Bombyx mori: one gene and its partner. The protein of the gene in region 2 purifies or fractionates together with the protein of the main gene of each other region. This does not show direct contact. Links are inferred from orthologs where the notes say so. Each region holds a gene or a part of one and is shown on either strand. Other genes may lie near its edges.

Region 1 (6,127 bases), on a different chromosome or scaffold from region 2:
TAAATCGATTCTAAAGGAGTAAACTCCAAAAATTTTTTTATTTCAAGAGTTATGTATAGCTAGTTCAGTCAATTTTTTTTCGGTAGGCAGCGGTTTGGCGTTGCTGAAGTCCCTGGGCGACAGTAACCACTCATCATAAGGTGGGCCATATGCTCGTCTGCATAATTTTTTTTTTGGAGTTTACTCCTTTAGAATCGATTTACATATATAGGCCCGGGGTATGAAAATTATGGGGACCAAAATCGTACTAGCATGTCACACGAAATGCGTTATGCGCCTGATTGGCTCCTGATTGCGTGATGCGTGCGCGCGCCAATCAGGAGCCAACGCGCGGCCGCGTTATCGCAGGTGACGCCGGGCTGCTGCGCCGGCAGTCCGCCACAAAGCCTCGTATAATAGCCGGCAAACTTCTTGAGCATTTGTTGACGTAGTGGGGGTAAGTTTGCGCATGGTACACTCACGTGCAAAAACATTATTTACTCTGCGTCATAATGCAATTAAATTATTAAAATCAACATATGTATTTATTTATATATTTATTAGAACATCAACAAAAAATATAGGTTAATAATTGTAATAATTTAATCTTGGGGTAAAATAGATATTCCTTCTACTAAGTCAAAACTAGAGCTGTTGCCAGGTCTTCGTTCAGTTGAAGCGAAGCTGGTATTTGTAATTTTTTTTTCGTTATCATAATCTTGACCATTATCATCATCACTGTTTTCATCACTGGAGTCGCCATCATCGTGATAAGTGGACATAGGGCTCATCGGTGTAGTTTACGACTCGGTCGGTTCGATCTTCTTTTTTGTCTATAATTTATTATTTTTTGAAGATATTCGATTCGTAGTAATCGAATGTTACTTTTTTCAATTACCAGCTTCCGATTATTTTCTGTTTTTTTTTTCCATCTGAAGCCTAGCTCTTTCATAATTCGTCGTAAACTTCATTCCGAGCTATTAAAATGTATATCTTCTTTAAAATTTTCGAAGCCTTTCTACGGTACGGAGTTTCGCTGCTTGTTATGTAGTTATTATGATTACATCTTTTTATTACAGATTGAACGAAACTATCCATTCCGGTAACTTTCTTCTTCCCTGATCTTTTCTTACCCGGAGTCCCAAGCACGACGAGCAAGCCAGAGCCTTTAGCTTTCTTTGTTAATAATGCACCTAACAGTACTCACTGATGTTTTTGTTGCTTCCGAAGTCTGTTTTACTTTTTCATAATATCATTCTTCCCCTGTTTTATAATGAAGCAATATACGTCGTACACAATTTTTCTGCCCTTTCTTTTGAATACTACACAAGTTTGTCGCGGCATAGTGTATTTTTTATAAAAAATCAACAAATACTCAACAAATAGCAATGGCAACAAAGTCAACAAGCAATTATAACAAAATTTATTAACGATTAATAACGATAGACTTTTCACTGTACGCAAGCGTACTTTTGGGAGCAAGCGGAACGAAGGCGCGGTGCGGGACGCAAGGTTCGACTGATCTACCAATAACGCGCTCGATACGATTTCCCCTGCCGTCGCGCCTCACCCTCACCACCAAAGTGATCTAAAATTCGGTTCTGCGCAGTCAAGGTCATTTGCTCACGATGTTTGCCGGTTACTATACTGATCGCGCGTTTCTCTCATTATTGTATTTTCATATATTTGTTAGTCGTTTGTTTTGTGTCTCGTTAATTTGTTAATAATCTGTAGTGTATCGTGTTGTCGTAATATAGAACTATTTCTCGTATTGTTTCGTTTAATTTTTTATATCCAGTAAACTCCAGTCGTGCGTCGGAGCGGACACACACACTTTTTTTTTTTAAATTACAGTTTTTATTTGTTTTTTTGCCTGAACTTTCATGAATCTAAGCTTATTAGAATAACTTTATTTTATATTGGTCAAAGTAGAATAGTAGTAATAAAAATGTAATTTAACCTTCCTTAATTTTTTCATTTCAGTTAAATCAGTAGTTAAATTACTTTTTATCTGGCAGCAAATGTAGAACGGAAGCTGCCTAGTCTATGACGTCATGGGCGGAGTTTAGTTGAAGATCGAATTTGGATTCGGTTGGCGGGCGCGGCCATCTTGGTGAATAAGTGACCTGGCGATTCGGATTTAGTTAGTGTAAAATCATTTGTCATCCACAATGTCGGAAAGGGAAGATAATGTGTATAAAGCAAAGTTAGCTGAGCAGGCTGAGCGCTATGACGGTAAGCATATATTTTTACTGTAATGCTATCATTCAGTCGAAGATTCTATCTTATTTTCGCCGACAATTGAAAAACGATTTTAAGATTCTTTAGAGAATATCCTATGTCCAAGACGTAATTATCATTTCATTTATTTCAATTTTCTATTGCAAATAGCCTTGTAGGTCGCAGTTTGTATATTTGATAATAGAAAAACGAGTCAATGGTATTCATTAGGCTTGGCCTGCGATCGATGCGTCATCCACCGGTGGGATGTCTTAGGTTTTTTACATGAACAAAAACGCTGAATCCATTCTCAACCTGAAATAGAACCTTCATGGTTCAGTTACGATAGTTTTTTCAGTTGTAGAATCGCAACTTTATGACTGAAAGTTTCCAATAAAAGTGATTTTCAAGAATTTGTAGTACCGTTGACCGGGTGTCAGAGGATCTGGATCGATGCGCCACTGGTTTTCTTGTATGTCTGCTATTGTGATCCAGACACATTAGAAACATCTTAGTTATGACGTAGTTTTATGGCGCCTTAGATTTCACCTATTGTTCACAATTTGATGCCACGGGAACTGTCTCCTTAGGGTTTTACAACGATTTCGTCTAACTATATCGCTTTCTGTTAAAGTATTATCATAGTTTTCTGTCATCTTCCTCATGAAAAACTCGGGAGTAATAATTGAAAGTCTGTGAAGGTCCACGGTTCAATGACCTTAGTTACCATTATCATTGAAGAATATCATTGTCAATCTTATCAATGCACAACATGGATGAAATATGAATGACTTGTTACACAACTGTTACACTTCATTTTATTGAGTGCATAAAGATTTTTCATCTTCATCTATCTTTCATCTGCAAAAAACATGGGTGGTATTAGATATGACATTCAATTCTAATTTTTAAAAAAGAAGCCCTAGGCCATCCTTATCCATTTCATCATGGGTTCTAAGTATTGAATATTGCTCTACATACATAGTGTGACATAGAGAAAATTGTAACAGGTTGGTCTGCAATCAGTACATTATTGATTATTTTTATGAACCACTAAAAGTATTGTCAGTGGGACTAAAGTTGACCACACCCTTTTATGGCTTGACCTTCAGCCAATATTTTGCAAGTGTCTTTATTTCATATGAAATTTATTGTAATTTAATTTTAAATATAATTGTGCTAATTTGCAAGTGAATGTCAAACTTAAATGGATTTATAAATTAGAAAGTCTCATTATGTTAGTCACACATATTAAAAGTATGACTTCATTGGAACTTGCCGCATGATGCTATGACTAATATTAATAAAATAAACTTTCAAAAAATTTGAAATATCTATGTTGAAAATAATTTTTGTAGTGTACACTGAATGAGGTTGTAAATTAGAGGATGTTGTATCAGTTCGTACTCATCACATGTGACTGCTGACTGTAATCATTGGCTAATATTTAATAGTGCTACATTGGAAGCAGTGTCTAAAAATTGTAGATTGTAGTTAAAACAAGCCTCACCACGATTGGTCCTGCACTATCTGCATCATTTTGGTGAGGCTTGGGGGAGGTCTATGTCCAGCAGTTGGTGTCTGTGGGCTGAAAGATAGAAGATAGACGTGGTTAAACCAATAGTATAATTCTCATATTTATTTTTAATTCAACTTTTATTTATTTATTACTTAGATGGGTGTACAAGCTCACAGCCCACCTGGTGTTAAGTGTTTACTAAAGCCCATAGACATCTACAACGTAAATACCGCCACTCACCTTGAAATATGAGTTCTAAGGTATAGTAGGTAGTAAGGTATAGTTACAACGGCTGCCCCACCCTTCAAACCGAAACGCATGACTGCTTCACGGCATAAATATAGGCAGGGTGGTGGTACCTACCCGTGTAAACTCACAAGAAGTCCTACCACCAGTAAAACATTACAACATTATTTTTAATTAGGAGTTTTTAAAATAATAAATTCTAATAAACTACATGGCTATATACGTTGGTAGAAAGTAGTGCAAGAAAACAATGTGTGTAGTTGTGTTATAAATCAAGTTTTTTCTTGAACACGACAGGATAGGATGGCCTTCTATTTTGAGGTGATTTTTCAGTAGTTTAGTATGTAACTTTCATGTCCTACTGCACTTTTTAGATTTTTTGGGTCGTACATAATTATTGACTCATGCAACAAACACTTGAAGAACACATCACACACATGCTCTGGTTAATAATTGTGTTAACCAACAAACATGCAGAGGAACCAACTATTTCTGGGAGATTAAAATTGCATTGCAACAAATGCAATGCAGATGAACTTTTTTAACATATAACTTTCTGCATGGGTAACAATAAGATAAATAAATTGGAATTTTAAGAAAGTGTTATCCCCTTACACTGTCTTTTCAAATTACCATTACATCACATTCATTAACTTGACTGACAAATTCAATTCAAACCTCTTTAGAAATATTATATTTGTATTAAACAGTGCTTACTGAGCAAATGAGTTGATTTGTCTAATTTATTTCCCATCTTTATGATTGTTCTTAAGTATCCTATATAATTGTAAACAAAACAATGATATGTTTATTTTCCTTAATAATCTAAACACCTTAAAATGTAGAATAGACTCAGTTCCAACTGCATTAGAAGAATTAATGTAATTAAAATGAATATTATACATTCAGAGACATTTAGCATACTTTGATGATGCTTTAGGGAGGAAAAAATCTTATGTTGATTGGTCTGATGGCTCAGACCAAGATGCCTATAGGCTATGTAACGAACACAAAAGAGCTGCCACCTGATGATAAAGGGTTACTGTTGCCAAGGTCCCCATCGGAAGGGTCATAGCTCTTAGCGGCAAAGCCCTTTTGTCCCTTATCAATCCAACTTGTATACCCGCCACAGTATGGACATTGTTTTGAGATGATGAGTTGAAGTTTGAGGAAAATACTAGATTATCAAAAGTCGAAATGTTGAGCAAATATCTGCCCAATCTCCTAAATAACAATAATAAAAAGAAAAATAAATATCTATAAATATGGCGAGCTCACAGCCCACCTGGTGCTAAGTGGTTACTGAAGTCCATAGACATCTACGACGTAAATGCGCCACCCACCTTGAGATGTAAGTTCTAAGGTCTCAAGTATAGTTACAACGGCTGCCCCACCCTTCAAACCGAAATGCATTACTGCTTCACGGCAGAAATAGACAGGGTGATGGTACCTACCCGTGCGGACTCACAAGAGGTCCTATCATCAGTAAAGTACCAGATATGGTAGAAATGTACTAAAACGAATAATATATCCTATTTTTCAGAAATGGTGGAGGCGATGAAGAATGTAGCATCACGCAACGTGTCCGACAATGAGCTGACAGTGGAGGAGAGGAACCTGCTGTCGGTCGCCTACAAGAACGTGATCGGCGCCCGCCGCGCCTCCTGGCGGATCATCTCCTCCATCGAACAGAAGGAAGAAACAAAAGTGAGTCTCGTGTAACACTTACTTGTCTGCTGATGTAACTTGTCATAATCAGAGCTTAGCCCGGATAAATAAATTGGATGATTGTGTTTTAGTATCACCCAAGCATTGAGAGTTTAGAAGAAAAACCTCATATTTTGGTATCCAGACTTGTTTTGTTAATCTAATGCATCTAGAGGGCCTCATAACTTTTATCATGAGATTGATTCATGATAAAAGTTTACATATGTTCTGCGTGTATGTTTTTAGTGTTTCATGATACAGAGAACTCCTGAATTTTACCTGTCTTAGCTATAGATTCATTATAAATTGAGAGAAATCTGAGTACAGCAATGTTGATCATTTAGTGGTAGCCCCTTAACCAAATGTCATTGTTGAACATGTTTACATTATATAATTGAATGTTGGAAAATGAGAGATCGCTTCCCCAATACATATGTAGTATCAAACTACTTTTTG
Region 2 (5,809 bases):
AGTTTCACGATACGAACGTGATGTACCTATCTAAGAGATAGGAATCAACTATAAAGGTTTAAAGTGAATGCAAAAGGGTAACAAACAAAAAATCGCGTTTTGTCTGGAAATACTAAGTACCTAACTACTAATTAGCGCGGATGAAGTGACAGCACTCAGATCGGGTTCATGGGTCTACTTTAAGTAACGAAGGTGCGAGTGTAAGCGCTCTATGGATCAATGAAAGAAATACATTTGTTTAATATATTATAAGATTGGACTTGTAAACAATACTTTATTTACCAAATTATTAAATACCTAAAAACTTACTTTGGTAAACGCGGGAGATTGTTGTGTGGGAAGTGGCTGGTGGGCTACGGGCGCAGGCGGCCTCGTTCGCCGCCTCTGCGTCGCTCCACTGGAGTCGAACACGCCCGCCACTATCCGCAGCCGATTGCCCGGACATATTCCCTGAAAAATACACGTCACAAATTACGACCTTACACTACAGCTATCAACAAAACAATAATTACTCATTCGTGCCTACGTGAGATTTAATTGTTTCGTGCTTTAGGTTATGAATCATAACGATAGTACGGTTTCTCGACAAACAATAGCGGACGGTCATGAAATCTATGCAATAATGACCAATGAAAATCTATATTGAATAATTTTCGAATATTTGAAATAAAAATACCTGTCTTCCTCTAAGCGAGCACAGCCACCAGCCCTCGCTGCCACCGGTGTTCTGCTCCAGCACGGTGAGCAGGTCGCCTCTTCGAAAAGCTAGCTCGTCCGGAGACTCCGCAATGTTATCATACAAAGCACGCGCCATACACTGCAATATAACAATTAAATTCTTTCAGAAACAAAGGAAGGGTCTTAGAGTTCCTTAATTAGATATTAATGCTATAGCTATAGCTACTTTAAACAAATTTGTGATTTGTTAATCCGCGATAAGGACTTAATAACTCAAGAAGATAATCTTCGGAAAATACCACATGCCAATATCATAATGATCAATCAAGAAACGAATCGAAAACTGATTCGGAGGCGACACTTCGAAACTTAACACTCAAGCAGAAAAGCCAATATATTTTGGATTTAAATAAAATCCTTTCGAGAGTAAAACTCTTGTCTTTTGTGTTCTACTTTAGGCTTAGGCTTTACAATATAGTCTCCTAATAATCAGTTTTGCTCACGTTCATCAAATCAATTTCGTTACAGGACAAAAGCGTGATAAACTTCAATGTGTCAGTCGTATTTCATCCCCATTAGTATTAGACAATGTCGAACGCATATGTTGCCGACATGCAGCTGCGACAAAACCGCGTCCTACGTTCCACCGGCGCATAAAATGACAGTTTCTGTATCCCGTCGTTTGACAGTCGATTCTAATCGATCAATATTATTGACAACAATGGAACAGTAGTTAAATAATTTAATTATCATCCGTATTTAGGAGCACATTTTTAAAATTTGATAAGTACTTATAACAAGTAAATTTTTGTGGTTGTCGAGTAGTTTTAGTGAAAACCGGTGTTGATAAAATCATTATTATTTATTGGCAACGCCAAAAATGGTAATCAAAGAGCTTTTTTCTAAAATACATACACACTCTGACTGTTATTTGAAAATGTAGGTAACAAAGGCGTATGAAATCATTACATATTTTAAAATAACACTATTTTCCCTTATCATAATTAATGTTGGCAGAAATTTATATCTACTTATTTATAATTCCCGAGTATTATTCGATATTGAAAATAGATATACGGTTACGCGGAGTGAGTGCAGTCTATTTGCTGAGACAGTATTGTTAAATGTACTACATTTATTTACGACTAGCGGCCCGCTCCGGCTCCGCTCGGGTCTTTAACAAAAATTTCAAGGATATTTGACGTTGTTTTATTTTAAAAAATAAAATAACACTTATTGCGGCATAACTATATTAGTTAGACATTTGCTGTCGCGGCATTTTTTGTAAATAATAATGTGTTCTACAAAGTCGTAGTACATTCTTTTATTGTATCGTGAATTGCTTATCGCAGCGCACTAAAAAATATTTTAGGTAATTTTTTTACACCTTGGGTTACATTATTGGAGTTTTAGTAAAGATCCCTCGGGAATAGTATAGCTTCCAAACAGTGAAAGAATTTTTCAAATCGGTTCAATAGTTTCGAAGCCTATTCAATACAAACAAACAAGCAAATCTTTCGTCTTTATAATATTAGTATAGATGTTTCTGACAGGCTATGTCCAAAAAAAAAAACGTAAATATAAATACATACTAGTTGCGCTCTTCTTGACGTTTTCGAAATATTAAATTTATTAGGTACATGTCGATTTTATCAATTTCCAAAAAAAAATAATTGAATATCATGTTAACACACGTAGGATCATTTTAGAATGCGTTACTCGCTCGTGAATAAAGGAATCATTATTTTTAATACCAAAACCATAATCTAGGGATACATTAATATACTTCACTTTGTATCAATTCAAGATAAATTGAGGAGTTGATAAAAAGTTGAGATAATTACGCAAAAATAAAGAGAACAGTTATGCCTAGACTGGGACAAATTTGACCAAGAATTCAGATGTCCCGAAGTCCGAATGCTATAAAAGTAACGTATTTTAAAAGTTGATTTAGATTATATATATTTATTTTTAAAAAAAATCGCAATATTACTTTCCGGTCTGAGACTGAATGAATTAAAAATCAAATCTCGGTTCTGTGCAGCGTGCCTTCAGTGAAATCTTACGAGCTTTTTTTTTCAGAAAGCTTCAAAATAAGCGAACAATTAATTTCCTATAGCACTATTGTTGGACGAATAATCTTTCTAATTTTTTATTGAATATTGGAACGATCACCTAGATGGTAGTGCGACTAGATTTTAGAGTAATTTGTGAAGTTATGATATTCCAAATTCCAACTAAAAGAGGCTCGATATCGAACAAAATGGAACAGATTTATTGCCGCCAGCATTTTTTTTTACGTACGTATTTCTATTCTTTTTTTTTTCCTACCTTTGCTGATAGCCTTGAAAGGCTATTTCAGCTTCGCCCTAACGTTTGTAGGTGAGCTCGCGGGGCTCAACCGGAGAGTTGCTAACACTGACCCTAGCAAGAGCAGTGCTTCGCAGAATCTACCACCGGATCGGAAACGCGACCCACTGAGAAGATCCGGCGAGAAACTCAGTGGGCTGTGTCTATGGGTTAGTTCGCTCGTCGAACCCTTCGTCGTAAGCGACGGGTTCGATGAGGACGGTGACCGGAACGTACGTATGTAGTACGTATTTCGTTAGCAAAATTGGTACCCGCCTGAGATTCGAGCACCGATGCATCGCTCAACACGAATGCACCGGACGTCTTATCCTTTAGGCCGCGACGACTTAAAGCACAGCATGTAACATTCCAGCAGACAAGATAAGAAAGAAAAAACGCATAAAATAATCTAATAATCAAATCAACTTACAATGTTTACCCATTTTATGGAGCATGTCTTAACGCTAATTTTTAGGTTAAATTTACAGTTACACATTGTGAACACTGGTTTTTCCAACCTTCTGTAACTATATTTGTTTTTAGAACTTATTATTGAATTTCACAAAATACTTTACAAAGTCTGTATATCAATCAAGCACTAGTAATGAGACACAAGTGATCGCCACAAAGTTACAAAGTGAACTGATTGAAACAATATTAACACTAAATATAATAAATATATTTATTTATATAAACAACGAGTGTATAACCGTTATTGGAACCAGTTGAGTCACAGTGACGTCATTAAGATCGACGCACTTATTAAATTTATGTCCGTTTCGAGATATTGAGACACTGAGACAGGAGCCTATTATTACCAGCCAGTTTGTGACCTTTGGCCAATTATTATTGTGCAAGATATATATAGATAAATAATAAGATTTACCGTCATTATTGTCATGGGCCAAAAGTTTTAGTGTACAAATTAAGTTTTCATTATGTTCAAACCTATACAGTTTATTAACGTGACCACTGATTTTATGGTAATTGTGAACCAGCACGTGTTTGTACTACCATCCGCCTATTTCTGCCCCGAAGCAATCAGTCCTGGCTTGAAATGTAAGACATTACATATGATTGAGACTTCAAGCTCCGATCCCAAGGTTAGAGGGTGATGCTTGAGGTTCAATGTTCAGGTAGCAACTTAACATCGAGGGCTAAGACCATTTTAGTTTACCTTTCTACCTAATATTCTAACCAAAACACTCACAACATTTTGTCAATGATAACAAAAAATTGCAATAAAAATAAATGCTCATACGAAAGAAGAATATCATTTTATAATATTATATGACTTGTACTTTATTTTAAATTAAAGATAATTAAAAACAATGAAAATTAATTGTACGCAGATTGGAACCGCATGAGTTGGTGTGATTCATAGATTCACCATTCACAGAAACTGACATAATATGTAGTTGTTAAATTATTATTGTATAGCACTCGATCTATCCACGTGTGAGGTCATTTTCTAAGGTTAATTCACGTCACTATATCGGGGACCATTGTATCATTTGTTTCGTTTTATTGGCGCCTTGTGGTCAGCCATTCAGACCCAGTTTTATTAAATGTGTGTGTCCGCCTAACGCTCATCCATTTCTTATCTTTTGTGGTGCTTTCAGTATCCACATAATATTGTGAAAAAATATCCACAAGTAGCAATACCGAGATTTTTTAAGTTTTGTTGTATGCAGTCATCAACATTGGTCTCCTGTAAACATAGCTCATTTGATTCCCACGTTAATCGTCTTAACGACACATTTAATCTTACTTACACTTAATCTGTTAATGATCGATAAAACCAATTCACTAAGAGATCTAAATTAAAAAAAAACAGCTATTATTATTATTACTATATTATGTTTTTATCAGCTTTCTTGCCAATTTTAGCTACAGCTGTTTATATAAATGTTTCATTAAACATGGAATTATTATACGAATTAATTTTAAAGTAAACTTCTGAATTTATGATAGATAACATAGTTACCTCCTCCCACTTGATAGTGCATAAGTACCTCAACTTGTATTATTACGCTTGTTGTTTTGATTAACGGGGTCCGTCGGCTTACAACGTGAATGTTGCTGGCTTTTTTCCCCTCCCTATGCTGATAGTCTTGAGAGGCTATTTCAGCTTTACGCTACCGTGTAGGTGAGCTCTTGGGGCTCACACCGGAAGTTTTGCTAATACTGGCCCTAGCAAGAGCAATGCTTCGTAGAATCTACCACCGGATCGGAAACGCGACCCACTGAGAAGATCCAGCGAGAAACTCAGTGGGCTGTGTCTATTTAATTTACCCGCCGAGCCCTATATCGCAAGCGAAGAGTTCAGCAAGGACGCTGATCAGGGTGGCGCTCGCTACTCATATTTAGACAAGTCGAAGTATGAATATAGTAATAGTAATAAAGTATCAAGACTCGTCCACCCTTTAAACGGGAACACATGACTGCTCCGCGGAAACACGCAAAATGTTAAGGCTTAGGCTCACAATACGGCCTACCATGACTATGAAATGTGATTAGATTCCAATATTTTAGAATAACACAGACATTTTTAATCATATATTACGTTGTACTTACTATTCTTCTGATGACTACGTAGTATTTGTTATAAATAACAGCTATTTTAAATAACTATTCTGATTTACCAACTGAACTACACATACTTGTAAACTTAAGTGATGGTAGGACCTCTTGTGAGTCCGCGCGGGTAGGTACCACCACCCTGCTTATTTCTGCCGTGAAGCAGTAATGCGTTACGGTATAAAGCTGCTGTAACTATACT

What was found.
Region 1: the proteins of breast cancer anti-estrogen resistance protein 1 (region 2) and Ywhae purify together in Homo sapiens (affinity purification with mass spectrometry; 3 studies listed by BioGRID and IntAct, with this or other methods). This does not show direct contact. The link is inferred for Bombyx mori from reciprocal best matches to the Homo sapiens genes BCAR1 and YWHAE.

The regions. Positions count from the first base shown.
Region 1 is NC_085122.1:14,130,596-14,136,722, forward strand, and holds the start of Ywhae (14-3-3 epsilon protein), read left to right. Parts: upstream 1-2,039; 5' UTR 2,040-2,150; coding exon 2,151-2,214; intron 2,215-5,507; coding exon 5,508-5,671; intron 5,672-6,127. UniProt on the Homo sapiens protein: Adapter protein implicated in the regulation of a large spectrum of both general and specialized signaling pathways. Binds to a large number of partners, usually by recognition of a phosphoserine or phosphothreonine motif.
Region 2 is NC_085117.1:10,878,764-10,884,572, forward strand, and holds the start of breast cancer anti-estrogen resistance protein 1, read right to left. Parts: upstream 3,639-5,809; 5' UTR 3,524-3,638; coding exon 3,458-3,523; intron 818-3,457; coding exon 677-817; intron 451-676; coding exon 310-450; intron 1-309. UniProt on the Homo sapiens protein: Docking protein which plays a central coordinating role for tyrosine kinase-based signaling related to cell adhesion. Implicated in induction of cell migration and cell branching. Involved in the BCAR3-mediated inhibition of TGFB signaling.